Linked DNA regions of Rattus norvegicus. The protein of the gene in region 3 purifies or fractionates together with the protein of the main gene of each other region. This does not show direct contact. Links are inferred from orthologs where the notes say so. Each region holds a gene or a part of one and is shown on either strand. Other genes may lie near its edges. The genes, in order: Ss18, Bcl7b, Smarcb1, Top2b, Macroh2a1, Bcl7c and Bicra.

Evidence for each region.
Region 1: the proteins of Smarcb1 (region 3) and Ss18 purify together in Homo sapiens (affinity purification with mass spectrometry; 9 studies listed by BioGRID and IntAct, counting the BioPlex papers as one, with this or other methods). This does not show direct contact. The link is inferred for Rattus norvegicus from reciprocal best matches to the Homo sapiens genes SMARCB1 and SS18.
Region 2: the proteins of Smarcb1 (region 3) and Bcl7b purify together in Homo sapiens (affinity purification with mass spectrometry; 6 studies listed by BioGRID and IntAct, with this or other methods). This does not show direct contact. The link is inferred for Rattus norvegicus from reciprocal best matches to the Homo sapiens genes SMARCB1 and BCL7B.
Region 4: the proteins of Smarcb1 (region 3) and Top2b fractionate together in Homo sapiens (co-fractionation; 3 studies listed by BioGRID, with this or other methods). This does not show direct contact. The link is inferred for Rattus norvegicus from reciprocal best matches to the Homo sapiens genes SMARCB1 and TOP2B.
Region 5: the proteins of Smarcb1 (region 3) and Macroh2a1 purify together in Homo sapiens (affinity purification with mass spectrometry; 3 studies listed by BioGRID and IntAct, with this or other methods). This does not show direct contact. The link is inferred for Rattus norvegicus from reciprocal best matches to the Homo sapiens genes SMARCB1 and MACROH2A1.
Region 6: the proteins of Smarcb1 (region 3) and Bcl7c purify together in Homo sapiens (affinity purification with mass spectrometry; 7 studies listed by BioGRID and IntAct, counting the BioPlex papers as one, with this or other methods). This does not show direct contact. The link is inferred for Rattus norvegicus from reciprocal best matches to the Homo sapiens genes SMARCB1 and BCL7C.
Region 7: the proteins of Smarcb1 (region 3) and Bicra purify together in Homo sapiens (affinity purification with mass spectrometry; 3 studies listed by BioGRID, with this or other methods). This does not show direct contact. The link is inferred for Rattus norvegicus from reciprocal best matches to the Homo sapiens genes SMARCB1 and BICRA.

What each region holds. Positions count from the first base shown.
Region 1 is NC_086036.1:6,061,326-6,064,957, forward strand, and holds part of Ss18 (protein SSXT), read right to left. Parts: intron 612-3,632; coding exon 444-611; intron 1-443. UniProt on the Homo sapiens protein: Appears to function synergistically with RBM14 as a transcriptional coactivator. Isoform 1 and isoform 2 function in nuclear receptor coactivation. Isoform 1 and isoform 2 function in general transcriptional coactivation.
Region 2 is NC_086030.1:27,143,820-27,148,002, reverse strand, and holds the start of Bcl7b (B-cell CLL/lymphoma 7 protein family member B), read left to right. Parts: upstream 1-1,371; 5' UTR 1,372-1,478; coding exon 1,479-1,570; intron 1,571-3,563; coding exon 3,564-3,639; intron 3,640-4,183. UniProt on the Homo sapiens protein: Positive regulator of apoptosis. Plays a role in the Wnt signaling pathway, negatively regulating the expression of Wnt signaling components CTNNB1 and HMGA1.
Region 3 is NC_086038.1:12,739,604-12,743,747, reverse strand, and holds the start of Smarcb1 (SWI/SNF-related matrix-associated actin-dependent regulator of chromatin subfamily B member 1), read right to left. Parts: upstream 2,801-4,144; 5' UTR 2,605-2,800; coding exon 2,512-2,604; intron 1-2,511.
Region 4 is NC_086033.1:11,539,609-11,543,950, forward strand, and holds the start of Top2b (DNA topoisomerase 2-beta), read right to left. Parts: upstream 2,857-4,342; 5' UTR 2,356-2,856; coding exon 2,308-2,355; intron 1-2,307. UniProt on the Homo sapiens protein: Key decatenating enzyme that alters DNA topology by binding to two double-stranded DNA molecules, generating a double-stranded break in one of the strands, passing the intact strand through the broken strand, and religating the broken strand.
Region 5 is NC_086035.1:8,543,540-8,547,890, forward strand, and holds the end of Macroh2a1 (core histone macro-H2A.1), read left to right. Parts: intron 1-3,023; coding exon 3,024-3,189; 3' UTR 3,190-3,729; downstream 3,730-4,351. UniProt on the Homo sapiens protein: Variant histone H2A which replaces conventional H2A in a subset of nucleosomes where it represses transcription. Nucleosomes wrap and compact DNA into chromatin, limiting DNA accessibility to the cellular machineries which require DNA as a template.
Region 6 is NC_086019.1:191,751,768-191,756,198, forward strand, and holds the start of Bcl7c (B-cell CLL/lymphoma 7 protein family member C), read right to left. Parts: upstream 2,875-4,431; 5' UTR 2,615-2,874; coding exon 2,523-2,614; intron 2,046-2,522; coding exon 1,967-2,045; intron 1,618-1,966; coding exon 1,509-1,617; intron 1,417-1,508; coding exon of another isoform or gene 1,414-1,416; coding exon 1,252-1,413; intron 1-1,251. UniProt on the Homo sapiens protein: May play an anti-apoptotic role.
Region 7 is NC_086019.1:85,811,689-85,816,077, forward strand, and holds the start of Bicra (BRD4-interacting chromatin-remodeling complex-associated protein), read right to left. Parts: upstream 2,895-4,389; coding exon 2,854-2,894; intron 2,747-2,853; coding exon 2,704-2,746; intron 1-2,703. UniProt on the Homo sapiens protein: Component of SWI/SNF chromatin remodeling subcomplex GBAF that carries out key enzymatic activities, changing chromatin structure by altering DNA-histone contacts within a nucleosome in an ATP-dependent manner.

The DNA.
Region 1 (3,632 bases), on a different chromosome or scaffold from region 3:
TCAGTAAGACCATACACATAATACCAAACAATACCAACTCAGAAAAGCAACCTCTGAAGCAGAGGCTGAAGCAGGTGGAAACTGATTTCTTTTTACTTGTTACATTAGTATTAAGGCATTTTGATATAAAATTGGCTTTGTTCTTTGTCATATACTTAGTAACTTCTAAAAAAGGGAGAGAGGGCATTTTCTGATGTAAATGAGTAAATTTGATAGAAAAGTTTCTGATGTGGTATTTCCCTAGAGAACACCAGACAAAAGGAAGCCATGTGCTGGGAAGCTCCTCTATGCCTCAGGACTTCCTCAGGGTTCCCTAAACCCTGCTACCTTGGTGGGTGGCAGGGGAGTGCAACAAAAGCCAGGATGAACAGTACATTAAAACTTAAAGCCTTTCAATGACTGTCATTTACAGTAAGCAAGGAATTTTCCAGATGGCTTCTCACCCTGTTGTGGAGGTCTATAGGGAGGCATCTGTCTCTGGCCCATCATGTGACTGCCTTGGTTAACTTGACCCATCAGCCCCATGGGCGCCTGCTGTCCTTGGTAATGCTGCGCACCTCCAGGTGGCATGCTGTACTGCTGAGAAGGAGGCTGCTGGTGCATCATGGGACCTGAAGACAGAAAAACATCATCACGCGGTGTTCTGGCACTGCTGCTCAACATGCGATGACAGGTACAAGACTCTTACCACAGAATACACAAAGTGTGTACTCGAACAAGGGACACTGACTGCAAGTATAAATGAGTCTGCACAAAGCTCACAGGCCCACATTTATCTGCAAATAAGGAAAACAACCAAACCCCAGTGGAACCCTCAGGTCCACCAGAGCACTCCAGTCATTTTTAAAAAATCAACATGGAAACAAGCTCTTTCTGGCATATACATCTTCTATCCGCATCATCTCACCGGCTCTCAAGGCAAAAGCATCTTACCACAGCATGAGGAAAGCGATGAAAATAAGACCGACAGAAGAAACCCACTTCTGGGTTTGTTTCCTTCTGTATGTAGAGAGGATGATAAAGACTTATTCTCTGTATGTGTGTGAGTTTGCATGACTTATGCACGCTGCATACATGCAGGAGCCCAGGCTAGACCAGGGAGGGAGGGCATCTGGAATGCAGAAGTCACAGGTGGTGTGAAGGCTTGGGACTGACCTCATGTCCTCTGGAAGAGCAGCAACACTTCTACCCACTGAACCATCTCTCCGGCCCTACACTCTCATTCCTTTTAGTACACATTTATGCAATAGTGGTAAGCAGAAACCTACAGAAGCACTTCATAAACATATCAGTTAAATTTTATAAACTTCAATTTTATGCAAAATTAAAAAAACTTTCCATTTCCCAAACCTTTTATAAGCTTTACAAACTAGAAATATATAGTGCTTTTTCTTTTTCTTTGAAATATCTTTTTATTTTACATTCTTTTTTTAAGGATTTACTTTATGTATGAGTACAGTGTTGTTGTCTTCAGACACATCAGAAGAGGGCATCAGATCTCATTACAGATGGTTGTGAGCCACCATGTGGTTGCTGGGATTTGAACTCAGGACCTCTGGAAGAAGAGTCAGTGCTCTTAACCCCTGAGCCATCTCTCCAGCCCTACAGTGCTTTTTCTTAAAAAAGAAATTTTTTTGTTTTTTTTTTGTTTTTTTTTTTTAGTTTTAATCATATGTGTACAGGTGTTTTGCCTGCATGTATGTATCTGTGAACGATTTGTACGTATGCCCAGAGGCAGGAGAGGGCACTGGATCCCCTAGAGCTGGAGTTACAGACATGACAGCTGTCATGTGGGTGCTGAGAAGTGAACCAAGGTCCTTTCCAAGAACAGCTCAACCATCTTTCCAGCCTCCAGGATCACGGTGCTCCTTAATAAATAACTAAAATCCTCTCACCTTGCCCACCCTCTAACTTCCTACTCCCAGTCTCCCCACCCTAAAAACTACCAGGAAAAGGTCTGTAGTAAAGCATGGGCTCAGAGACAGGTACACTCTACAGGGTGAGAGTTAGGAAAAGGTCTGTAGTAAGGCATGGGCTCAGTACACTCTACAGGGTGAGAGTTCAGCACCACTGCTGCAGCACATACAGTGAAGATCTGTCACGTGACCCGCAGTGGCCCTCGAATTCTGTGTGGCCGCCTAGCAGTGTCAGATGCTCCCCGAGGGCTGCCGGGTCCTTAAAGAGCAGAGTCCCACACTCTCAGCCCGCTGACTCGAGTGTCTGTGTGTCGTCTTGCAGTCCTGCTTACATAGCGCCAAACTTGGGGGTGAGTTAAAGTACAAAAGGGAAAGCTGTGCAGGCCACGATGACACAGTGAGTCAGAGGCTCACTATTAATTTAAACAAACATCTAAAAACCAAGCAGCCACTTCCTTAAGTTTCCAGGGACAATGTGAGCACAGAGCTTTACCTCCTCAGCAACGTGACCATCTGTTCCGTGGGAAGAAAAGCTTCTTCAGAGCTGCTGTCTCCCTGAGCACCTCTGTGTGTTCTGCTTTTGTCTAACTCTTCTCGGGTCTCTCCAGTTTTTATCACTGTATGTAGAAGCTCTCCAAAGCCCTGGAGCCCTTCAGCATGGAAATGAATTCTTCACAGCAGGAGGAAGACGGCTCAGTAAGACTGGCAAGGAGGCAGACCCTGGGCGCACTGTAGGTACCTGCAATGCAAGCTGTCACCTGCACTTCCCAGGGCACCCTGGCAACCAGGGAATCCACAGAGCAAGCTTGCTAACAGTACCTGGCAAGATTACAAATGTCAAGCCGAGTTCAAAGTGCACCTCTGTGCCTGTCCTTTTCACCTGCACATCTCAGAAGCATTGGGTGTAGTGGCTGCAGTATGGGTGTGAGCCGTGCACATGTAGAGTCGGAGGAGCCCACAGGATCCCCTAGTTACAGACAGTCATGAATTGCCATGTGGGTACTGGGAGCCGAACTCGGGTCCTCCAGAAGAACGGGTGATCTTAACCACTGAGTTTATCACTCTAGTCATGAACTCTATGTGATAAAAACATTTTAATGCTGTTACTCATAATTTATTGTCAACCTGACTGGGCCTTTTAAATTTCATTTTCAAGAAATGAAAGGTTTGCCTTATTTTTATTTTCAAAAACTGCCCAAAGGACTCCTGACTTAGAAGTTAGGCTGTATCTGAATATTGGAGCCAAAATGAAAGGCATCGCTAGGGGAGGGGCTCTCAAATATCTATCACAACAAAATTCTATCTCACTTCAAAGTCCTTCCAGGAGAGAGGAAATTCCAGCACAGGGCACAGCCCACACAACCGTGCCATCTGAGCCCTATCTCTATCTGCCTGCAGCTCAGTCACTACCTTCCTGAATTCTGTCACTGCCCCCAAGGCCTCACAGCACTCAGGATCAACGTAAATCCAGAGAAAACAGGAGAGGAAGGCAGCACACACCCGGCACTCTGCACACGCCCTTGAAGGCTTATCCACGAAGTTTAAACGTCAACTCTGATTATCTAGGATGCATATGGTTTTCCTTAACACACTAACGGGAACAGAGCAGTTCAGTGAAAGGCCGCCAATTCTACGGATGGCAGAATACCCCAGAATAACGTAGACTGGCAAGGTGAATGCAAATAACGGCAGCAAGCATCTGTCACTTCACAGATG
Region 2 (4,183 bases), on a different chromosome or scaffold from region 3:
AGAGGTCCTGAGTTCAAGTCACAGCAACCACATGGTGGCTCACGACCATCTGTAATGGGATCTGATGCCCTCTTCTGGTGTGTCTGAGAACAGCTACAGTTTACTCATATAAATAAAATAAATAAATCTTTAAAAAAATTCAATGTTCATTTAAATGAATACCACCATGGGAGCATGTAATGTCAGCTTTGAGTCACAAGTGCCCAGGACACTTGATGCCTACTATTTGTTTTGTCTGTTAGCACTGCTTTCACTCACCCGATTCTTTTCTTTTTGTTCTCTCCCCTCCCATCCCAACCCCCAGCCCTGGCTGTCCTGGAACTCACTCTGTAGACCAGGCTGGCCTTGAACTCAGAGATCCACCTGCTTCTGCCTCCAGCATGCTGGGATTGAATGTGTTCATCATAATCCCTGATTCAGAAATTCTTTCAAAGGAGAAACACTTCTATATCCACAGTACTTGGTCTAATACACAGAACATAAGCCGTGTGTTATCCAGAACTGAATTCCATGGCAGTTGAGTGCTAAGTATGAGCCAGGTACAAAATACTCAGGACAAGCTGCAGTTTGAGCCGGATGTTGAAAAAGTAGTTTATTCAATCAGAAGAAATTTCCAGGTGGGTAGTGAAGAATTGGAAGACGAGAAGTCAAAAAGAAAAAGGTGTGATATTGACTCTGGAACACAGCTATTTAAGCAGTGATGACACAGGTCTCCAGTTACATGAACATGAAAAGCATAAATAATTCTTGAAGGGCCAGGAGTCATAGGGGTTTAAAGGACTTGATGCCAGCCTAAAACTCACTAGGGAGAACCAACTCCCACAAATTATCCTCTGTACCATATATACTTAAAAATTTTCTTCCCAATGGTGCAGTGGCTCACACCTTTGATCGCAGCACTCCAAAGGCTGAGGCAGGCAGATTTCTGAGTTCAAGGTCAGCCTGGTCTACAAAGAGAGTTGCAGTACAGCCAGGGATACACAGAGCCTGTCTCGGAAAACAAAAATGAAACAAAAGTTTCTAGTCAAATGCAGTGGCACACAACACCTGAGAAGCAGAGTCAGGTGGCTCTGAAGTTCGAGGTTGGTCTGGTCTATAGTACAGCAAATTCCAGGAAGCAGTAGATTGGGAAAGTGGTGACTTCGAAATCTCATCCCACCAACATCATTGCGGCCTCGCCTGGCACACACCACGTGCGGGCGACACTAGGTTCGGCCTCCCAGTGAGGTGTCTAAGGGTCTCTTGAGGTGCACAGTAGGGACGCCCCCGGGCGGGTGCGCAAGCGCGCTGAGGCCTCAAGGGCCCAAGGGGCGGGAGGGTGCGCGCGCTCCCCCGCGCACGCGCGCACGGGGGGGGGTGCGAGCGACGGCCGCGGTGACGTGCTGCGGTGGCAGCGGGTGGACGACGACGCGTGAGGCGCGTGATATCCCGCGTCTTGGGAGCAGTGTCCCGGCCCCCAGCCACTCCCCGCCGCCGCCATGTCCGGCCGTTCGGTCCGGGCCGAGACCCGTAGCCGGGCCAAAGATGACATCAAGAAGGTGATGGCGGCCATCGAGAAAGTGCGGAAATGGTGAGGGGCGGGAGTGGGGGGGGTTGCTGACGTGGGTTTGCGGGAAACCCGGCGCGGAGGATCGCCAGACACGTACAGACAGGGTGGGAACCAAGAGGCCGGCCTCTGGGGGGAGGGGGCCGGAGGAAAAAAGCGAAAGGAGGGCGCGCCGGCGTCGGCATGAAGTCAGAGTCCGCGTTCACAGTAGCCAATCAGAAGGACAGTCGGCTCTTAGCCCCTCCCACTAGCTGTCATTAGTCGCTTCCGGCCCGCTCTGCCTGGGGCGGGACCTGGCGCTGCAGTGTTGCACTTCCGCCGGGGACCTCGCGGAAGTGCGGCTTGGCGGCTCCCAGCTGGGTTTCCGCTCCTGCGCATCGCAACTGTCCAGTGATGTCCGTTGTTGCCAAGTCTTATGCGCTATAAGTGGTCGAAATTAAGCGGAAGTTTACAAACGCGGCACTTTTGGAACACAAATCCCTTATATCTGTAGATCTGGGGCCCTTAGCCAGCGCACCCGTTTGCTCTAGGCGCCCAGGGGACTCCGTCTCTGCAAATACTTACTGCAAACCCGGATTTAACGGACAAATGGTCAGGATTTCATTGCATTAAACTGTTCTGAACCAAGTCTTTGAGCCATTCCCCCTCACTTAATGACGAGTAATTTCGTTACTGTTTCGTTCATTTTGTTTTTTTTTGGTTCTTTTTTTCGGAGCTGGGGAACGAACCCAGGACCTTGCGCTTCCTAGGCAAGCGCTCTACCACTGAGCTAAATCCCCAACCCCTGTTTCGTTTATTTAACCGGATCTCCCCGAGTACTACAGTCTGGCTTTACACTTGCAGTGATCCTTCTGCCTCAGTTTCCCCAGCGGCTAAGAGGCCGCTAGAGTGATTTTTTTGTTTGTTTTGTTTGTTTGTTTTGAATCAGTGTCTTAAAAACCTTTGGCTGTTTTGGAACTCACTTTGTAGACTAGGCTGGCCTTGAACTAAAGATCCGCCTTTCTCTGCTTCCCAGGTGCTGGGTTATGGCATGCCTCTGCTTCCTATGTAATTCTCAAGTGTCTCCATCCCCTTTTATTTTTTACTGATAAGGAAAAGTTTGGAGGCTGGAAAATGGTTTAGTGGTTAAAAGCCCTGGGCTGTTCTTGCAGAGGACCTGCATTCAATTCCTGCCACCACATGGCAGCTAACAAACACCTGTACTTCAGTCCCACACACACACAGGAGAAATGCTGAATGAGTTGAGGGTACACTTGGTTCGGTTGGGTTTAGAGACCTGGGAGGCCTTCATAGTTTGCCTTAGGGTGATCTTCAGTAAAAGCCACTCAACGTTTTCTTACTTTGCTAGTACGTTGGTAAATCTGACATTTCTACCTCAGGAGGAACAAGGAAGAATGTTGAGGGAGGGGTCAGTTTTGTTTGTATGCTGGGGATGGAGCCCATAGCCTTGGGCAGGCTAGACTAGTGCCTCCCACTGTTGTTCCTGGCCAGAGAAAAAAGGCAGCTAGCTACAAAGCTGTAGTGTTTCTCTGTGAGTAATCTCAGTGACCCAGCATGCAATTGCTGCCTGTTCCTTTCTGGTGATTGTTCTTCCTTTGGAGGAACCTTAAATGGAAAATGAACAAAACTAGTTTAGAGAGACTTGGAAATTATCTCCACCATCCTCCCTGACTTCTGTCTGCGGGGGATCAAAGTCAGGACCAGTGCATGCTAATAAGCCTGTTAAGACTGAGCCACAATCAGTGTCTTTCGTGCCTTCCTCCAACCCCAATTTGTGGCAGTCCTCCTGCCTCAGCCTCCAAGTGCTAAAATTACAAGAATGCAAGTGAAAGCCTCCCCACTCCCCAACCCCTGGCTTTCATCCCTACTCTGGTTACATCCTCTTATACAAACCCACCTTCAGGTGTAATTTGATGGCATTCGAGATCAAAGGAACAATCTCTTGAGACACAAAAGCAGAGTTAGTAAACAAACAAGAAATGTGATTTATTAATCCTAATTAATGCTCATCTTCTAGGGAGAAGAAATGGGTGACTGTGGGTGACACGTCCCTGAGGATATTCAAATGGGTGCCTGTGACAGATAGCAAGGAGGTAAGTAGGGGGTGGGCAACAGTTAAAGAAACCACTGTCTTAGCTTCCATTTCTCGCCTCTTTCAGTTATAAAGGAAGTTCTTTTCTGAAAAGACCTCAGGCTCCCTCGGCCCGGACTATGCAAAGTGCTCCTTTGTCGTTTGCTCCTGTATCCTCTCTTTACTTAGACAGTAGCTTCAGCCCCGTTCCTGTTGATGGGTCATTTCTCTAATGGTGAAGTGAGCTGATGCAAGCCAGATTAGATTATATATAGGCAGGTTTATTAGGAAGCTGCTCTCCGGGGAGTTCGTTGACCCCAAGGACAGAGGCCAGAGAAGTCACAATGGGGAGAGAAAAGGGTGGAGAGAGAGACACACACACAGACACACCGACACACAGACAGACAGACAGATAGACAAAGTCTGGATTATATAGAAAAGACTCTCTTGGGGAAGGGCAGCCCACTGGGCTGGAAAGTTTAGGGTATGCCAGGTAGGAACTAAGGAATCCTGGGAGAGCCAGATGTAAAATATGCTCCTCGGTCCCCTGTCTGGGTGTCAGAAAG
Region 3 (4,144 bases):
AAAGATTCTGGACTTGGGCATTCATTTCTTCAAAGTCCTGTGACTCCTGTGGCAAATGACAGGATGACAGGGACATAGTCATATCCGCTGCAGACGTCCTCCCAAAGCAGCTCCACAGAGGTCAGAGACACTGCTAGTGTGCTGCATCTGTCCCATCTGTCTAAAACTGAATCCATCATCCAGACAATACTGCAGACAGAAAATACTATATGACCCTGTGCTCTTCCCAAAATCAAAGCCAGGCTCCAAGGAGTGAGAAACCACCCATTTTGGTCTTGGGGATAACTATTCTCATTCAACTGGGAAGGCAAAGAGTCAAGAGCCCAAAAGGAGGCTGTGGTTGGACTTCTAAAACCGAAAACATTCGATGACAATTACCTCAAGAGACATGTATTTCCAGTTTAAACATCTCGGATGCATGAGAAAAATAAAACCGGTCAAGAGTACTCAGTGCAAGAACACGTGTTCAGTGCGCAAAGGCTCAGGGCTCCCCAGCATGAGAACTGAGGAAGGCAGGAGAAGAGAGTGGCGAGAGGGTAAGGAGGCACAGCAAGCTGTCCCGAGGTTCTTCCCACATGACCAGGAGCTGTCTCTCAATTGCTCCACCAGATACGTATTTTCTTTTCAAAACTACCCCCAGCCTCTTAGAGCTCAGGCCAGATTTACTCTTTCACTGGTCAGTTCAGGGAAGCGTCTTTCAACAAATTCTCCTGCATAGATTGTTCCTTATGTACTGACCTTGCATTTGCACAAATGCCTACTGGCCAACCAGCACCCTTCCGAGCCACAGGAGATGGCCGGGCCCTGACTGCACGTCCCCAGCACTGCCACCTTGGAACAGTAGCAGAGGTGATGGTGGGAACAGTCATGGCAGCCTGCACTTTTTGTTTAATGGAAAAAAGTGAAAGCAGAAATGCTAAGTCTAGATGTTTCTGACAATACTGGTCCCACTACCTGATTCAACCAACACCCTAATGGAGTATAAGACACTCAACAGCTGCCAGGAGGTAACTGCTGGCAGTTTGAAATGGCATTAGTTAGCTCTCTAGGGTGGGCCCTACCTCCTTACACATGCTATATGTCTACTGGTTAATATTCACATATTGAGGGGTTGGGGATTTAGCTCAGTGGTAGAGCGCTTGTCTAGCAAGCGCAAGGCCCCCAGCTCCGAAAAAAAGAAAAGAAAAAAAATTTCACATATTGGAATTTTATGGTTTTTTTTTTTTCTTTTGAGACTACGTAGACCAGGCTGGACTCAAACTCACCCTCTATTCTACCTCTGGAGTGTTCAGGTTAAAGGTGCAGCCTAGTGCTTGGCCACCCACAGCTTAAAATACAAAAACAAAACAAAAACAAAAACAAAAAAAAACAATAAAGAAAAAGAAAGAAAGAAAAGGAAACATAAACGGGATGTGGTGGCACCAAGTGCTTTGATCCCAGCATTTGAGAGGCAGAGGCAGGTGGATTTCTGTGAGTTCAAGGTTAGCCAGGTCTCAAAGGGGAGTTGCAAACCAGCCAGGGTCACACAATGAGATCTTGTCTCAAAGAGAAGGGGGGAGTGGAGACATAAACTGGTTGGCGGTTGCCCTTAGATGGAAGAAAGCTAGTTTGAGACAATCTGTTTTAAAAAAGAAAGAAAAGAAACTTCATACATTTGGCTGGTCTGTAGGTCTAATTGTAGGGTTTTTCTAAGACAGTGGTTCTCAGCCTTCCTAATGCTGTGACCCTTTAATACAGTTTCTCATGTTGTGATGACCCCTCACCATAAAATTCTCCCGTTGCTACTTCATAACTATAATTCTGCTAGAGTTACAAATCATAATGTCACTATCTTATATGCGGGATATCTGATGTGGGAGCCCTATGAAAGGGGTAGCAACACACAAGAGCGAACCTAAGGAACTATGTCCACTTAACTGAACAGGGGCTGTCTCTTCTAGTTATGAGTTATGGGTTAGCGATCCTTAGATTTATCCCCTATAAAGACTCAAAATCAGTTCACAGATCTCCAAAATGTTAGTGCTTCTGGCCTTGGGGCCTCAACCACTCAAAAGCAAACATCCTCCTCCAATCACTTTCTACACATCATAAAACTTATGCTACTGCACTCCACCACAGAAACAAGGACACAAAGGGGAGGAGGTTTTCCTAAGCCTCAGGCTTACAACTAGAGGTTTCAAGACCATGGCAGTGGGGTGCACGAGAGCTGCCGAAGGGCTCAAGGGCAGTACTGCACCTCCAAGCACCCAGGGGCTTCCCAAACATCCTTTTTCCATTTGCCTAGAGTGAACCGGCTCGATGCTCTAAGCTCTAAGCTAGGGCAGATGCTTAGGGTCGGATGTTAAGTGGGTAAGGAAACCTAGAGGCCACGCCCACCAGGCCACGCCCCAGCTGCGAGCACGAGCCCGCCTCCGCGATGAATGGAGGCGCGCACTCGGGGAGCACTGGCCCGCCCCGGGATTCGAGCCGGCCAGCCGCTGCTCGGGAAGCCGAGAACGCGCCGCGGGCTACCTCGGAGCCGATCATGTAGAACTCCCCGTCGTCCTCCAGCTGAAACTTGACGGGCTTCTGCCCGAAGGTCTTGCTCAACGCCATCATCATCATGGCGGCGGGGGAAACTGGCAGCCGGGGTCGAGCTGGAAAGAATCCGGTGGGCTGGGGCGGGGCCGAGGCGCGTCGGACCGAAAGGAACGGAGGCCGGGAGGTGAAGGACGGACAGGGCGAGCCGGGCAAACCGGGAAGGCGCTCGCGTCACTACTAGGTTCTTAAGCCGTCTCTGCGAAGAGCAGGCCTCCCTCCGTGCGCATGCGCGTGGGGGTGCTGACGCTAACGTGCGCGCCGCCGCCTGCGCGAGCGCGTTCCCGCAGGCCCTTAAAGGGACCCGAGCTTCTTTTGCTTCCAGGCGGGTATGGAGGGAAACTTCTCAGCGACAGAAATAGCCACTGAGGTCCTGACTCAGGCGGTGGCTTTTCTAGTGGCACAGCCTGAGATGGCACTCCGCCCTGGGATGAAGGGAATAAATGAGATGTTAAGCGGGGAGAAGAACCGCTCCATCTGGAGCGGGGTGGGCATGGCGACCCCAGGCCGGCCAGGTTCTCCACCCGAAGGTGCGCTAGGAATAGCTAGCTATCCGCTGCAGGCCCACAGCTATTCCCGAGGCAGTAGGGATGGGAAGAATAACAGTACTGGATGGAGGTTGGTACTATTCAAAGATCTATATAATGTGCCAGGTGACCGGGAAGAGACACTTGCCTTCCTTCCTTACCTCTGCAAGCTTGGTGCCCACAAGCCCAGTCCTGTTCTGTGCCTCTGCCGGCCTTGGGCCTTAACAGCCCCGAGGCAAGACAGAGCTTCTGGAAAGTGTCCAAGCAGTCCACCCTCTGTTGAACAGAGCCTTGACTCCAAAATGTTTAAGTAATGTTTATTGTAGCGCTATTACAATAGCTTAAGTTATAGCCCAGCCTAGGTAGAAGAATGGTTGAAGAAAATGTAATCTAGGCAGGGTGTCGTGGCTAGCCCCAGCACTCGGGAGGCAGAGACAGGAGGATTTCTGTGAGTTATAGGCAAGTCTACACAGTGAGTTTCAGGACAGCCAGGGGTAGGTAGAGAAACTGTCTCAGAAAAAAATAAAATAAAATAAAGCAAAAAGAGTGAAATGTGTGTACACGACGGAATTATTTTTTCAGCCCCCAAAACGAAATCGTTTTCAGGAAAATGGATGCAACTGGAGATAATCGTATTAAATCAAGCCAGTCTGAGAAAGACAAATAGGTTTTCTCTCCTTTGTGCTTTCTAGATTTCACATAGATTCATAAAATATGTACTACACAGAACATGAAAGAAAAGTGACATTGTGTATGGGAGCAAAGGGACTAACAGGAGAGGGAGGGGGGATAGGGGAAGTGGGGTATGGGAGGGGGAGGATGTACAAAATATAAATACCTTTAAGAAAGTGGAAATCAAACTGGCCAGTTTCATAAGGGTCAGCCTAATGAGACCATAGTTGTGACTAGGGTCCTTAGGAAGGAGATGTTAACTAGGAAGGGCCGTGGTAACCAGGAGTTTGCCCAACTGTCCTCACAGCCACGGGAACCAGAGTGTTAAGGGCCAGGCATGGTGGTTCACACTTTTAATCCCAGAACTC
Region 4 (4,342 bases), on a different chromosome or scaffold from region 3:
TCTCAATGTTCTGCTTAACAAAATAGGACAGAAAAATTTAAGCCCCCTGAAAGAAGTCTCGCCTGCATTATGTACTGCAGGGGGTATATGAACCTATGCCAAAGCCCACATCAACTCATGCTATCATCTTCCAGTAAAGAAGACCAACCAGGCCCCGTGTGCTGGCTCCCAATCTCAGCATTCACAAAGCTAAGGAAGGAGGATCATGAGTTCAAAGCCCAGGTAGATGAATGTACATATACACTCTCTCCTCTCTCAAAAACACATGCACAAGCAACCTGTAAGGTTTATTACAGACAGGAAGATGCTGGCATTAGGAACAGAAAGCAAGCAGCAAACCTGAAAGAGGATTTCTTCTCAATAACCTAATTCAAACAAGATATATTTTATTTTACTGTAATTCCCATAATCTAGTTCATAGCAAAATTAATGTGCCTATTGTAGTTTCACATAGATTTTTTTTTCTAATTTGGAATGAAACTCTACAAGTTTTGCCCCATTTTGTATGTAAATTAAAGTTTTCCATTGACCTTAAAAGGAAAGGTGCCCATTAAATTAAAGCATTGCTACCATGACTTAAAAACAAACAATCCGGGTTGGGGATTTAGCTCAGTGGTAGAGCGCTTGCCTAGCAAGCGCAAGGCCCTGGGTTCGGTCCCCCGCTCCGAAAAAAAGAAAAAAAAAAAAAAAAAAAAAAACAATCCAACTGTCTCACAAAATGTTTGCCATGGTGACAGAATTTGAGAGGTGGCCCAGCTGCACTAGCTTCACTTCCAGAGGATCTGGGTGGCTGCAGTTCCAAGGTATAGATGCCCTCTTCTGGCCTGGTCTAGGCACCAGGCGCTCAAGTGGTGCACAGACATACGAGCAGGCAAAACACCCATACGCATAAAATAATAATGTAAAAACAAAAGGGCTGAGAGGGGAACTAGAGAGATAGCTCAGTGGTTAAGAGCATTCACTGCTCTTCTAAAGGTCCTGAGTTCAACTCCCAGCACAAATATGGTGGCACTGACATCTGAGCAGCTTGTCTGTGACTTGGTTCCACGATAGCAACTGCTTTCTTTTTAAGACTTATTTATGTGTATGAGTGCTTTGTCTGCATGTACCCTACACACCAGAAGGCAGCAGCTCGGATGTCAGTGCTTCCACAATCACCAGTGACACTGGCATATGATCGCAGTCCATCTTCAGACGTTTAGTTTTAGTACCAGGTAAGGGTCAGCCATTTCAATCATTCTTTCCAAGGACACACGCGCACTAACTTACTATCTAACTTTTCTTCTCCACGCTCTCCTACTGCACTGCCTAGAAAGAACTACTTATTTCTGGAGATTCGAAGATAAGAACCTGGCAAGTTACACTGCAAAGTATCTTGCCACGGCCCTGCAAATGGTTAAACAGTTTTCCTGCTGTTTATAAAAACATCCTTTTTATAAGAAATGACTGTTAATCCAGACTCATCTAAACCTCAACCGAACAAAGAAACCAAGGAACAAAAATGCCAAGCAATACCAACTTCCTTAGCGTGTTCAGAGGCGAGGGATTTGGGATCCTCTGGAAGGGGTGTGTTAAAGTCCCTGAAATGTGTAAATTTTCTGTCCTAGCTGCTGGTCTCATCTGCTAAGTCTGATGTTTTGCATGGGAAATGACCCTGGTCTGAACTCAGTGCGGAGTAAGTGAAGTGCTGGAGTTATCGATCTGTCGTGGGAACCCTGCTCCAATTGCTCCTGCTGCCTCGCTACTTCCACTTCCCACTGGGAACTAGGCTCTGCGATCCTCCAAGTTCCGGCTTAAGCACCCCCTCCCTCACCTCCTGGGGAAACCCCTGAGTCCCCACGCGATGTACCCGGGAGGCTGACGTAAGTAAGCTCTTCCCTTTAATCCCGCGGGCAGATGGACCAGCTGCGGTCTCTAACCTGCTGTCAAAGTCATCCCAAATACCCTCTCTGCGGAATGAGCCTTTAAAGGGGAGGCGCAAACCGCAGTGGCCATTCAAGTTCACGTTCCTTTGGGACAGGCCGCCGGAAGCGGTTGCATTTGGCATAAGTTCTGCAATATTTTCTGGCGCTGCGCTCGTGGAGGCTCGCGTTATCGCGGTCCCCTACGTCCTGGTGTACACCCTGAAGTTTCAGGTGAGCATTCTTCCGCAGCCTGAACCTCGTAGAGGCGGAAAGCAGAGAGAAAAAGGCACTCAGGGATAGGCCCTGCCTGCAGCCCGACAGGGCGCCCGCCGCGCCGCGCTCTCAGCCCCCGCCCGCACAGCCCGCGGCCCACGAACAATGCGTCCGCCCGCGCAGCACTCACCACCCAGGTCAGCGCCCCGTCAACGCCCGCGAGGCTGGACTTGGCCATGGCAGCGCCTCCCGTGCAGGCCAGGGGCTGCTCGCGCACCGGGGACGCGGCTCGCACTGACCGCTGCGCGCCGCACTCCTAGCCGCGCCCCATCGCGGGCCCGAGCCGCTGAGGAGGCCGCGCCGCCCGCCGCCCTCAAACTCGAGCGCGGCGCCCGGGCCTAGAGCGCGGCCGAGGGCGAGGAAGGGCTAGCAGTGAGACGCGGTCTTCCGGGGCTCACGCAGGCGATCGGGATCGCGAATGAGGGGCGAGGGTCGGCGCGGGCCGGCGCGGGCCGGCTAGGAGACGCGAGTCAGAGCCCTGACACGAAGGAGTCACTGCTTCTCCTCACGCAACCGAATCCGCAGAGTCCTCGACGCGGTCGCCGCCGCCTCAAAGGCCGCCACTGCCTTAAAGCCGCTCAAGCGGTGTCTGACCGGGTCCTTAGGAGCACTGGCCGAGAGGGACAATAAACAGCCGCTGTGGTGGCCTCCCTTTAGTCCGGCATAACACCGCACACACAGGCGCGCTCGGAGAGGGGGAGGGTGCGGCGGCCACCGGCTGTCAGTCAGCCATGGACCGTCCAATCACGGTCTTGTCGCTACAGTCCTTCGACCAATCCCAAAATTTCAGGCCCCCAGAGGGGCGGGATCCGAGGGGAAAACGTCATTGCGGGTAGCAACCGAGAGGCAGACTTGGGTTTTTTGTTTGTGTGTGAGAGTGTGTGTGTGTGTAAGAGAGAGGCAGAGTGAATGGGGTTTCCGTCCAAAGGGAGAGCGGGCGGCTGTCATGGGTCATTCCCGGGCATCCAAAGGAGCCGGGAGTCCTGGGACGAGGGCTGTGGAAACCTCCGGGCAGTGGTCTTGCAGACCTGCCGGGAAGTCGGGGAGGCTGGAGAGGAGGGGGAGGGTGGGGGCAGGGAGGCAGGAAGCCTTAGGCGTCCCCAGAGACTGGGCCGGGGAGTGAACTGCAGATGGGACCGTTTGCCGTTAGGAGCAGCCGGATCCCCTACCCCACCTCAGGTCCCAGGTTGCTGCTGCGCAGAGCGTCCGCCAGACTCCTTGTCCTTCATCTGCCCGCCCCCCAAACGCTGCAGGCAGTCTTCAGTGTCACCACTTAGGGAACTTAAACATTGCCCAGGGAACGTTCCTGGGAAGGAACGCGAGCAGGTCAGGGCTCCCTTCCCGGGCTACTGAGCTTTCCTCCCAACAGTGCAGAAGGGTCCCTGTCGGTTCTCACCTGTCAAGGACTGCACCAGCACCACCACGTCTAAGAGGGCACATATATCGTTTTTTGAACTTCAAGAGTGGTTTTCAGGTACACATTAAGGATAGACTTTTCTCGTGAGGAAGCTTTCTAAGAATAAAATGTGCCACACCAAAGCCTTTGGCAGACGGAAGAGCTCTTGACTTCACCCAGCCTGTAAATGGAATTACATTCAACAAGTCCTTTTTGGGTATACTCCCCGCCATTCTCTGCCAGGCGTGGCAATGGGTTTAAAGGGACAACAGCCTCAGATGTCAATCTTCCAAGAGTGACTAACAGAGGACGCTGAAGAACTTTATCCCGTTGGAGCTAACAGCTTTCTGTGAAAGTGTTTCTGTGAGTCTCTCTGGCGGCTAAGGACTTCCCTTAAGGGAAAACAAAAATGCCTGGGGTCATACCTTTCAACTGCAGCATTCTGAAACCAAGGTGGGCAGCTCTGAAACATGAAAATAATTTAAACGTAGTTCTTAATTAGCCCTCTGGAGACCATGAATTTTCAGTTTTATTTGGGTATTCTGACTAAACACCAAAGCCTTTCTTTATTTTGAATTTGGTGTTCTAGCTTGTAAATCACTAATCAGGACCTAAAACTGGGCTGGACTCTGACTACAGAGCACCATGGCCTTGTTACCAGCTTTCCCAAGTTCAACTTTGGGCCTTCTTACCTGGGGACTTTTTATGTACTGTGACTTTACATCCCTAAGTACTCAAATAGTTCATGTTTGAAAACAGATGATTTTAA
Region 5 (4,351 bases), on a different chromosome or scaffold from region 3:
GACAGGAGGGGCATTCAGATGGGAACCAAAGTAGTGCCCGTGCTTCGAAGCCTGTGTTTGTGCCAGCGTCCAGGTCTGCAGCCCTCCAGCACAGTTGGGCACCATACACTGGTCTGCAGGCTCTGGCAAGCTGAGGCGGGCGTTGCTTAAAGTGCTCACAGTAACTAAATGCCAACGGTCACTCAGTCGTAGCTCTCTGAGGCTCTGGGGGATAGTCTCCCACCTTCGGATGATCCTGGAGTCCAGTTGTCTCTAGCAGGCCTGGACCCCACACTCTACCTAATTAATACATATCATCTTGTCCCACCACTCTGACCTGACCGGGCTAGGGCAGGGCACAACCCAGAAGCGGAGGGCATCAGGTCATCTATGATGGGGCAGCCAAGGCACTGTGTAGCTACAGAGGCTCTCACCTTAGGGGAGCCATGAATCTACTTCATCACCTGTGTGTCTAGCTAGGGCAGCTAGGGGGCGCCTGGGACCCTGCCCAGCAGCACAGGGAGATGCCCGTCTTGCTTCTGCTTCTCCCCATGGTCTGCTACTTTAGAGCGGGGCTCCCTAGGACCAATCCAGGCTCCCATTGGCCCAGCAGCAGGCCAGATTAGAGTATGGTATGTGAGGTGGGCGGTACCCTACCAGAATAAACCTCTCAGCCTCCCTTTCCCCAGCTTCTGCATTCTGAGAGTCCAGACTGTGGAGTCCTGACCCGCTGCCTGCATGTAGGCCACGGCTCCCAGTCAGAGTGGCCGAAGGCCTGAGGGGCAAAAGCTCCAGGTGCAGAGCCCAGCCGGGTGTGCAAGGCAAACTCTCTGTGATGTCAGCACCAGCCACAGGTTCAGAGTTAGAACCCAGGACCAGGGAGGAGCCTTCCCTCAGCCACAGCTGAACCGGCTAGGCGTAACCTGCTCCTGTGATGCTCTTAGGAGACTGACCTTGCAGTCGGGAGAGAGGCCAGGGCAACACCATGTATCTTCATCACATCACACACTTGGCCGGTGCCCGGCAGAGTCCAAGCGCACCAGCTGGCTGAGCGCACAGGAGCAGCACGCAGCTGTGACCGTTCGTCTGGGGGGCCTCCCCGGCTCTGCTCATCTGAAGGGGCGTGAAGTGAGGCAGGCAGGCAGGCAGGCAGGCAGGCCGGCCTTCAGTAGCATGGCACTGGTGGAATATGGGTCAAACCTACCCATGCAGAGAACAGCTCCCTGCACACTCTCCTCAGAGCCTGCCAGCCCAGGTTGTGCCCACGGACTGAGGTCTGCCTGCCCCGGCCACCCTCTCTGCTCCCTGGGCCTGGATGCAGGCTCCAGCAGGATACACACAGAGGGTGGAACGCGCTCTCTCTACAACAGATCAGCAGTTCCCACCTGGCCCGTTCCTGTGCTCCCCTCTCTGCCTGAGAGGATTGCGGCCACTGTGCCAGCTGCCTGGTGCCTCCCTGCAGCCCTGACTTCTGTCACACTGACCCCCAGCTTAGCTAGACCATCAGGCTTGTTCCGGGAAGAAACCAGACTGTCTGGAACTCCGAGCCGAGCTCCATGGGGAGAGGCCCTGAGCATGTATCACACCCCACAATGGCCCAGGTCTCCCAGGCGAAAGCAGGTCGCAAGAGCTTTTCCTGTGGCCTTGTGAAGAGCCCTGAGCACTAACAGCTGGGGAGAGTGCGGCTCCCGGGGGCGGGGTGGGGAGTCAGGGTCACAGGCACAGTGTAGAAGGCTGCGTGTGCTGTGATCACATCATCAACTCAGAGAGGACCAGCCAGAGTGGCAGGCAGGTGGGCTAGGGACTGTAGACTGCAGTGAGCAAGGCGTAGCCCTGAAGGCTGCTCCAAGCAGAGTTTCCTTCCACTGGGCCAGACCACTCTGTAAGAGCACATGCTGTATTGGCCAGGGACTGGCTCAGGCTTCCAGGTCCTGAGTTCACACTCGGAGCCCCCTGTGACATCAGTGGCAGGATGCTGACTTGGAGACTTCCGTGATGACCTGAAGTCAAGGTTATCGACACTTGCCCCAGAATTCTGCTCTGCACCACGGTGGCTGCCCTGCCTGCCCTCTGCTCTAACACTAGCTGGTGCAGTTTGGAGATGGTCCCTGGACCAACAGCCCTTACTGCCACTTGTATAGAGCACTTGTATAGAGTGCTCTATACAACTCGAGGGCAGAGCTACTCAGACCCCATGGCCATGGTGGACTGACACTGATAGGCGCCTCAGCAGTGGAGCTTTCATGGACTGCCGGTTCCGGGGACCATGGGGAAAAGCAGCAGGAGCTTGCGCACCTTGACCGCTCCACGCTCGGCATTCAGTGTCCTTGGTTCTTGCTGCCACTGTCTAGAATGCTCTCTGGGTCCCACCTCTTCTTCCTGCTCACAGATGCCTGGTTATATTGCCTGTCCCTCGTCTTGTGAGCGCTGGATGGCTCTGTCTGTTCTACCACAGCAGTGCTTATGGTTTTGAACGAGTTGAGCTTGTTTAACACGCAGCAAGTGGACGTGAAGACAGTAAGCAGCAGAGAGACTGCAAACTTCACACCAGGTCATGTTACACTTAAAACATCCCAGCAGAAACCAATTCTAGACGCCTAATGGAGAGAGCAAGCCGCTCATAGATATCAAACCAGTTAGCAGTGACCTGCTGGGGGAGCCCCACCAAAGCCATGTCTGCCTAGAGCTCCCAGAGCTCCGAGCAGTGTCCAGGGATGAGCTTGGCTTCCTGTCCCCACAACAGACATTTTTATACCATGGACTAACGGTAACCTTGCTGGCCATCCACTCTCCTTTCCCCTTGCATCAAAGGCAGTCTGCCTCAAGACACGGGGGCTAGGAGGACACCTGGGGTAACTGCTGTGAGACGAGGGAGGTCATGTTGTAGAGCTCACACCCAAGTGCCAACGGTGTGTGACAGCTCTCTAATACAGCTTACCCTGTGAGGGCTTTCTTCACACCTGTGGGAGCATCTCCTGCCCAGGGTGAGGACCCTGCTCGCTGTAGACACCTTGAGTGCTGACCCCCTGTGTTCTCTCCTACAGGAACGGGTTCCCGAAGCAGACAGCCGCCCAACTCATTCTGAAGGCCATCTCCAGCTACTTTGTGTCCACTATGTCGTCCTCCATCAAAACTGTGTACTTTGTGCTTTTTGACAGTGAGAGCATAGGCATCTACGTGCAGGAAATGGCCAAACTGGATGCCAACTAGGCCAGCGTTCCCTAGAGCCAGCACATGTCGTGGCCCCCACCTCCAACTGGAAAGAAAGAAAAAAAAAGAAAAAAATCCCCTCGGCTCTTATGGGGAGGTGGGGGCTCCTTTCCTTTTCAGTTCTGCTCATCTAGGGGAAATAAGGTTTTGGTTTCCGGTTTGATTGTTTTTGGCCTTCTACAATGTTTTCTGTTAGCACTGATAGCTGGCATTGTCCTTGCTAAGCACTGCGTTCCAGACCGTGTCTGACTTAGTTAACCTAGGAGATTTTATAGTTTTACTTTAATGAAGTCCTGATTAACACAGAGCAGTGGAGAGACCGTGCCCCTGTGTCAGCAGCAGCAGCAGCAGCAGCAGGAAGCCCCGTTTGTAACGCGTGTTGTGGTGCTTTACTGTACACCCAGTGGCGTTCTTTTTACTATTACGGTTTTTCCCCCTCAGAAGAGAAAAAAAAATCATAAAATTTGCAACAGACCTAACTTTTGTTTACTTTTTTGTCTTAATGATAGATTTGAAAATGAAAAATGTTAAAAAAAAAAAGACAACTGGATCTGTGGTCCTTATTATATTTGCAGTTTTTTTTTTTTTTTTTTTTTTTTGGTTCTTTTTTTCGGAGCTGGGGACCGAACCCAGGGCCTTGCGCTTCCTAGGTAAGCGCTCTACCACTGAGCTAAATCCCCAGCCCCATATTTGCAGTTTGAGATTTGTGCGAATCAACTTAGGAAAGCGTTGAACTGTCGAGGCTGGCCACGTGTTGCGTTACTGCGCCTGCGGGCCCCAGGCCTGTGTCCCTAGGACACAGGTCCAGGCAGCGCACACCCAGGAAGCTCCCGGATAGTCCCACGAGAGTCTGTGGACGGTCCCTGGACCTCGGCGGGTAGGTCAGACATCTGCTGGCCCTAGGATATGTAGCGAATTCACGTAGGAAGCTTGGAGTCTCGAGTGTGGTTGGGGTGTCAGTCCCACCTCACAGAGAAGTTAGAGAGCGCACCCACAGCCGCACTGGAGATGAAGCAGCCAATGCTAGAGCAGAGCCTTGCACTCTGGGTTCCATCTCTCTCTGACTTGTGGCTGGGCCCTGCGGATAAGACTCAAGCCACGGACCTCCTGCTGGCCTGCCTTTGCCAACCCCTACAGGAAGGTCCCCAGCATCAGGGTCCCC
Region 6 (4,431 bases), on a different chromosome or scaffold from region 3:
GAGTGGACCAGGGGCAAAGGAAACAGACAGGCACTGGTCACACATGATGACATTGTGGGGGCAGAGGGGTACCAAGTTGCTGAGGAAGGAAGACTCAAGTTGGATCTTGTCAGTAGGGAATGAGCCAGGAGGCAAACGGAGGTAGAGTAGAATTTAGGCAGATAGAAATATGTGCTTAGTGACCACAGACTCTCAGTCATCCGCAGAATGGAAATAGTGACAGTAACACCATGAGAGGCTGCTGTGTGGATCAAGTACACGGCACATAGTATGTGCTCAAGAAGTGCCAGCTAGCAGTTTCATTCATTCATTCATTTCTGTGGTACTAGAGATGGGGCTTAGGACCTTAGGCATGACAGACAAGCACCTGCACTGGGCTGCATGCCCTGCCCCATCATTTCATATTAGCGAAAGTATTTGGGACAACCTAGGTGTGGTCCCAAGCCCCATGTCATGGTGTTCTTGACAGGGGAACAATTTCAGTAGCAACAGTTTATAAAGGCCTCTGGTTCAAACGAAGGAATCAAAGGCCACGGGAGCCAACGAAGGACACAAAGCAGGAAAATGGCCGATTGGAATCTGCTCTAAGAAAGCTGTAGCATGTGGAGGCGAGAGCCAGTGCAAGTGAGAAGTGAGAAGGGAGCGCCAAAGGCACGGGAGTCAGCCATGCCTGGGAAGGGGGGGTGGACTACAGGAAGGCCGAGGAGCTGGCGCACTGGCTCTGCAAGTCTGGGCATCTTTCTCTGGATGTTGGGCTCCTCGTGTATAAATAGGAATCATCATAGGATCATTGGTTCCATAAAATGTCAGTGAGGGTTAAATGAGAAAACAAACCACAAAACATTGAAGTGCTCAGAAGAATGACTAACAGATAAGTGGTTCTGTCAGCTGTTAATCTACGGTTACTAATCCCTAGGGTTATCAGAATTATTTAGTTGCCGAACATCTATTATGCGTCCCACATGAACCAGATCAGTGTGTCTGACATGAGATGGTAACAGAGAGGCAATAAGCAAGCAAAAAGTACATTTACATAAAGTTTTCAGATGGCGACACGCTCCCTACAAATCCAAGATGCCAAGGAATGAGCCAGGCACAGCCAGAGGTAATTTCTGCCAGGGTCAGGAAAGGTTCCCTGAGGGAGGCAGGACGGGGGAGGGGGGGGGGGACACAACACAATATAGAAACACATACAAGGCGGTAGGTTCAACTCTGGTGAGGAGAGGACTCCCAAGAGCCACATGGTCCTACCTCTCTCTTGGCCCAGTTGTGGGGGCTGAGTATCTTCTGTAATCACCTCTGGAGGTCCAGTTGGTGATCCAGGGCGACTGGGCTGGGGCGTCCCCCCAGGGCTGGGCTCCGTGCCCTTTTGCAGTGAACCTTCGGAATGGAAACTCTGATTGCTGTTCTCATCTGCTGAAGCAAAAGTCAAGTTAGTTGGCCAGAGGACCCCAGTGGCTTCTTTCAGCACCCAGCCCCCCCACCCCTATTCCAGAATCTCTACATACCATTGAGATCCAGCAGGATGAGGGGGCCACCCCCTCTGGGACTGGTGCCCCTACCACGCCTCTCCCGGCCACGAGATCTCTCTGCCCCTCCTCCTGCCCGCCGCCTCTCCTGAGGGTTAGAGAAGTAAGATCAGAGCTAGTTTGTCCAGGGAGCTCTTACAAAGTCCTTCAATTCAAATAAGGAAACCTAGGCTCAGAGAAGCAAAAGGTGCTGCCTCAGGTTGTGTAGGCCGAGTTAGGTCTTGAACTTGGAGAAAGTGTGTGTGTGTGTGTGTGTGTGTTTGTGTGTGCGCGCGCGCGCGCGCGCGCGCTTCCGTGCTCATGCCCCCTAATAATCGTTACCATCTGCCTGGGCTCCACAGTGGAGTCTCCAAGCCGACTGAAGGTGGAGGCCAAGGGGAGGGAAATTGCTTGAGGTTGCACAGATGCAAGGCATGTTGGGGGTTGGGCTTGCTCACCTCCTCCTGGGGATCCACCACAGGCACCCACTTGAAGATTCGAAGGGAAGTGTCACCCACAGTCACCCAGCGCTTCTCCCTGTGGGAGGTCAGGAGACTGGGTCAGGGAGGCCCAAGGGTGAGCCCCACAGACTGGAGGTCAGGGAGGTGTGCTAGGGTACGGACAGCTTCGTTTACACGGCATAGAAGCAGAAAGAGCCCTCTAAACCCCAGGGCAAAGCATAAACGGATATAACTTGGAGCTGCGGTTTTGCAGACACCTGGGGCACTCAGCAGGGCGCCACCAAGGCCTGCCCAGGCACTCAGGCAATGAAGACCCCGGGCCAAGCTTGCGAGAGTGTCAAAAGCTTCAGGGGGCGGGGCATAGATGAGGGCTCCCGCTCAGGGAAAGCACCACTCCGGACCACGCTTTGTAGACCTCTGGGAATTGCCAAGGAAAGGGGGCGCCCTGTCGATTTAGATCACAGCTGGTGGGCGGGGGCAGCGGGCCAGGAAAGGGCGGACGCGTTTGGAGGAGGTGGCTTGGCTGTATCCCTGACCCGGGGGCAGCGCTCACCATCTCCGGACCTTCTCGATGGTCGCCATCACCTTTTTGATGTCATCTTTGGCCCGGCTCCGGGTCTCGGCCCGCACGGTCCGGCCGGCCATGCTGGCGGGGCTAGGGCCGGGACAGAGCCCGTGGTGGGGCGGCCTGCGGTCCGGCGATCTCAGGCTGCGCGCCAGGCCCCGGCGCCGCTCTTTCGGCCTGCCGTCCCTCCGGGAGTTGGCCGCGCCCTCCCTCGCTCCCCAACGCCTCCGCGCGTCCCCGCCTGGCTTCCTGAGACCGCGCCCCGCCCCGGCCCGTCCCCGGAGCGGCCCGGGCGGCGCGGGCGGCTAGAGCCCCGGCCTGGAAGCCCGGCCAGCTCCGCCCCGGCCCGGGCCCGCCCCTCGGGGCGCACGGACGCACAGCGCCCTCTGCCCGCCGCGGAGAGGGAGAGCTGGGGGGCAGCGGTGCGGCTGGACGCGCGCGGCCCGAACGAGGCGGTGCGTTCCGGCCACGTGGGCACAGGGGTGCGCGAGAGGGACTGTCCTGGTGTGCGTCCGCGGCGGGTGGGCGTCCCTGAAATGCTCTGTGTGCGCGCGTCTGCCCTCTCCAGGCTGTTTGATTCTAAGCTGCCCAACTTAACTTGTTCATTCATTCATTCATTCATTCATTCATTCATTCATTCATTCATACATTCATTCATTCATTCATTCATTCATTGAACAGTTCCATTAACAGCGCCTAGTACAAGCCAGACTCTGCGAGTGGAGAGCCGGCCTCCTCAATCAGAATGGCGGGAGTGAAAAAGACCATGTAGATGAAGTAGCAGAGGAGCAACTTGCCATTCCTTGAATCAGGGTGTGTAATTGGTAGAGATAGTTTGGAAAACTGGCAGTCTTCCATTGAAAAACTTATGCCAACCCCGTCTTCCAACAGTTTCCACTCCCAAACTAGCAACACTCAACAGAAGGAATATGTGCTGCCTCTTTTTTGTCAACTCGTCACAAGCTAGGGTTATCTGGAATGAGGGAACCTTGATGGAGAAAACGCCTCCATCATGTTGCCCTGCAGGTAAGTCTATGGGGCATTTTCTTTTTTTTTTTTTTTTTTTTCTTTTTTTTCTTTTTTTCGGAGCTGGGGACTGAACCCAGGGCCTTGCGCTCGCTAGGCAAGCGCTCTACCACTGAGCTAAATCCCCAACCCCGGGCATTTTCTTGATAATAGTTGTTGTGGGAGAGCCAGACCACTGTAGGCAGTGCCACCTCCGGGCACTTTAAGAAAGCAGACTGAACAAGCCTTGGGGAGCAAGTGAGTAAGCAAAGTTCGTCCAAGGTTTTGCTTCAGTTCTGGCCTCCTTCAGTTCCTGCTTTAAGTTCCTGCCCTGACTTCATAACAGACTATAACTGCAAGCTGAAATAGATGCGGTGTTTATCACAGCAATAGAAACCTCACTAGGACGAAATGTGTCTGTATGAACACCAAGATATGTATACTGGGAAGTTCGGTACTCTTCATAATAGCACCAACCTGGGAGCCACTCAACAGAATGGAATGGAAAACCAGTTACAACCTGTTTATACCATGAGCACAGACAAAACAACCAGAAAAACCAAAGTCCTGCTATGTGCAATGGTGGGGATGGGTCTGCAACAAAAGAAGCCAGATGTGACAACATGCATTAGATAATTCTACATCTAAGTTCAGAACACAAGTACATTCATGGTGTTTTCCGGGAGCTTGTCACACTTGTCTTTAGTCTGTCAAGATGGACATTTATTACTTGTAATTTTTCTTGTGTGTATTATAGTTCAGCTAAAGGTTTACTTAAAGAAAATGAATGCTGTCAAGATATCTCGGTGAACAAGGGACTTGCCACAAAGCCTGATGACCTAAACTCAATAGATGACCCCACATCATAGAAGAGGGAACCTACTCCTGACAG
Region 7 (4,389 bases), on a different chromosome or scaffold from region 3:
ATTGTACTCTAGAGAGCTCAGCACTTGATGCCTCTCCTCGAAGAGGCATGGCTCACTTATCCCATTAGAGTGTACACCGGAGTTAGTGGCTCCTTCCTCCTTCAAGGCAGATACTTGTAGTCCAAGCTAGCCTCAAACATGCTAGCCATTAGAGGGGGAGGTAAACTCCTGGTCTCCTGAGTGCTGGGACTGCATGCCCCACCATGCCTCATTTTATGTGGTGCTGGGGACGGAACCGAAGAGCTCTTACTTAGCAGTTCCCAAGTATCCGTGTGACTCATGAAACTAGGTCATAAAAGGTACTGTGGCTTCCTCCTGGCTCTCTATCATAGGGTGCTTGTGACAAGGGAAATCAGCTACCATATCCTGAGTACATTTAAACAGTGAGAGAGGGGCCCACGGGAAAGGTACCTGGGCCTCCTGGCAGTGGCCACAAGAAGGGAGGTTAGAGTAAATATATAGTTGACTCTAGACCAGCACATAGAACGGTGGTTCTCAACCCTTCTGATGCTTCGACCCTTTAATACAGTTCAAGTTGTGATGACCGGCAACTATAAAATTATTCTGTTGCTACTTCATAATTGTAATTTTTCTACTGTTATGAACCACAATGTATTTTCTGATGGTCTTAACTGACTCCTGTTTAAAGGTCATTTAACCCCCAAAGGGGTCACAACCCACAGGTTGAGAACCATTGCCTTAGATGCTTGTAGCTCCTGTAATATACAGACTGCTGTGACCTCAGGGGAAGTCCCTGAGGCAGGACCACCCAGCTGACTCTTGACCCAGATTCCCAACAAGGCAAAAGTCTAACAACTAGGCACTAAGTCACCATGTGGGGGTAATCTCTCATACCACTGTAGAATACAAAGAGTTCCACACTGGTCCTCCAGACAGCCACATTTTCCAAGATTTCCTGGGACACAAATCAAATCTGGGTCCCCGAGAACTGCTGTCAGGTTCAGAATAAATCAATCAGTCATGTGTGATGGTGGGAAGGCAGGGCGGGCAGGTGGATCTCTGTGAGTTTAAGGCCAACCTGACCTACCTAGTAAGTTCTAGGTTAGCCAGGACTACAAAGAGAGAACCTGCCTCACAATAAAGAAATATACAAACAAATAAAAACAAAATCACCTAACCACGTCTAAAGCACTCCGTGCTGTCTCATAATAGTTCTGAATTTAGCCTCTCTCTCAATGTTACCCCTGCTAGATAGAGCACTGTGGTCATCTTTAATGCTGCCACCCCAGAGTGACCTCCTCTGACCACACCAGCTAAACGAGATCTTTCCTTTATTTTCTTTAAGACATAAATATATATCTTATATTTGGTGCTATCAGAGGCCAGAGGAGGGTTGGATCCCCTGGAACTGGGTCCTCTATAGAATCAGCCAGCACTCTGTTCTCTAAGACTGGGTTTCTCTGTGTAGCTTTGGCTGTCCTGAAACCCACTCTGTAGACCAGGCTGGCCTCAAACTCACAGATCACCTGGCTCTGACCCCTGAGTGTTGGGATTAAAGACGTGCCACCACCACCTGGCCTACAGCCAACATTCTTTACTGCTTCAGCCATCTCTCCAGCTTTAGGCTTTATCTCTCTCTCTCTCTCTCTCTCTCTCTCTCTCTCTCTCTGTCTCCTCTCTGTCTCTCTCTGTCTCTGTCTCTGTCTCTGTCTCTCTCTCTCTCTCTCTCTCTGTATGTGTTTGTGTACACACCTGCTATACACATGTGTATGCAGGTGCACATAGGAAGGAAGGAAGGCAGAGGAAGACAGTGTCTTGTCTTGGGGGTGAGAGAGACAAAATTAGATTGAGGTAGTTTAAGACCCAGCTGCCCCTTCACAGCGTGGCCCCTGGAGGTAATGGACGTAGGGGGTCACAGCACTGTTTCTGGAGTGCACAGAGCGAGACGGAGGGATATAAGGATCAGGTACCCTCCCACACAGAAGTCCTGACCAGGGATGGGGCAGCATTCTGACCCTCCTTCATCATGCCCAACACCCCTCACACCTTCACCACTCTGCCCCATTACCCTCAGACACAGCCCTGTCAACTCAACTGGGAGCTAAGAGAGGGGTCAGCAAGCTCCAGTGATCCTCCTGTCTCTACCCTCTCCCCAGAGAAACGAGGTTACAGTGCACATGACCATGCCGAGCTTCTGACATGCATGCTGGGGATTTGAACTCAGGTCTCCATGCTTACGCATGCTCTCCATACAGCGATCTCTCTAGCGCCTCTCATTATTTCTTTCTAGCCATTTTCTGTATGACTTTTAAAGAAAACCTTAACTAGTGAATAGTAAATGACATTCATTCATTCGTTTGTTTATAGGCAGGGGCTTCCTATGTATCGCTGACCGTCCTGGAGCTCACTCTGTAGATAACTCACAGAGATCTGCCTGCCTTTGCCTCTTGGGTGCTGGGATTAATAGTCTACACTTGGCCTTTTATTTATTTGTTTTTAATCTAGTATGATATTTTAAGAAAATGTATATATTCAATACAGCATCATTTCCAAGTTAAAAATGTGCTGAGATCTTTTTGCTGCGGCCCCCTCTCCCACTCATCCCCCCTTTTAAATGGCTGGCTTAGTTCGTTAACCAGGAAGATGACAGAGCAAGGAGACGAGACTTAGGGGACCTGCACCTCCCTTCGGATCCTCCAGCCCCATGACCAAAGAAGGCCCCTCCATGCCTTTGGCACTTACCTTTTCGGATCCATGCAAGAAGTCATTGAGGGCCTGAGGGTCACTGCAAGAGAGAGGGAAAAGAGACCTTAAGGAGCTAGGCTGAGGAGTAGAGGGAAGGGAGGGGTGTGGGAGACGGGCGTGGGTGGGTGGGGGGAGCCCGTTACTCACCAAATCACGTCTAGTAAGCATCTCCCATCCTCATCATCCATTTCCACTAGATGGGGTGGGGGTGGGAAGAGGGTGGGGGAGACACAATTAGATTGAGGCAGTCTATAGCCCAGCTGCCCCTTCACGGGGTGGTGGAGGTAGTGTGGGGGGTGTCTGACCAACTGTCTCTGAAGTACACAGAGCTAGGTGGAGGGGTACAAGAACCACCTCCCAGGTACCCTCCCACACAGAAGTCCTGACCAGGGACGGGGTAGCATTCTTACCCTCTGTCCTCCTGCCCAACACCCCCCACGTCTGACAGTGATGATGAAGGGGGTATCAACTGAAATGAAAAGGTCTCTTACACTAAGTGCTGCAGAGAAGTCTAACTGAATAAACTATGGCACCCCCACTTTAAGGGTGAGGAGTTGGAGGCACCAACTTCCAGCGAGTGGGCTGTACATGCCCGAGTCCTAGGGAACACATGCGCTCCGGCCTCCAGGGTGCCATTCTACTTTGCGTTATACAGTCTAGTTCAGAGTCAAAACCCAAACTCGCTGGGTGTTAAGATGGCCTGCACCTTTGATCCCAGCACTTGGAGGATGTCTGTGAGTTCAAGATCAGCCAGGCCTGCATGGTGAAACCCCGTCTCAAAAACAAAATAACCTGAACTGTTCTCTCAGGGTCTGTAGCTCACACCAGACTCCCACCAGGCAGGCTTCCGCTTGAGTTCGCCAGCCATGCCCCTGAGCCTAAGCATGTCACGGCTCACTGTCCTGTTCTGACTACAGTCTGTGGCCCGTCGGGTGTGGTGGGGGCCTGTCCTGAGTATCAGTGGGATAGAGCAAGAGAGGGAGGGTGGAATGAGAGAGTAAGAGAAAGGGTCACCACACTCCTGGGTGAATCCTGAAGACCTACGCAGTGTGGGTCTCAGGCAAAGAAAGGTGACAGGCATGATGTATGGCGGAGGGGACTGAGGCAGCAGGAGCAGGGAGGGTCACAAGGCTGGACCAGAGAGGTGACAGTGTGGGGTTGGCCTCCACAGCTGAATGATGAGGATGCGGACGGCTAACGTTTGTCTGGAGCTGTCTGGCGCTCTCCACTGGCTAGCATTATCAGAGCCCATGACAAAGGTTAGCGTGGTCAGCCCCCGGGAAGGGGAAGAGGCTGCTTTTTACCCCTGCACCCCAAAAGGAACGGATGCTGTCTGCATTTTCCCATCTGCCTCCCACCATACAGAATTTCTGCCTGCCAATCAGCCACCCAGTCCCTCAGAGCATCTAACCACATCCTCTCAGCCCTAAAACATTCCTCCAAAGGGCCCTTCACATTCCACACTGTCCACCTTTTTTGAGACAGGGTCTCTCACTGGCCTGGAGCTCACCAATTAGGCTAGGTTAACCAGCGAGCTAACCCTAGGTATCTCATGGCCTCCACCTCCCCAGTGCTGGGATATCATGCCCTGCTCTTTATATGGGTTCTGGGAATCCAATTCATATTCTCACTCACAATCACTTTACCAACTGAGCTATCTCCTCAGTGCCCACCTGACATTCT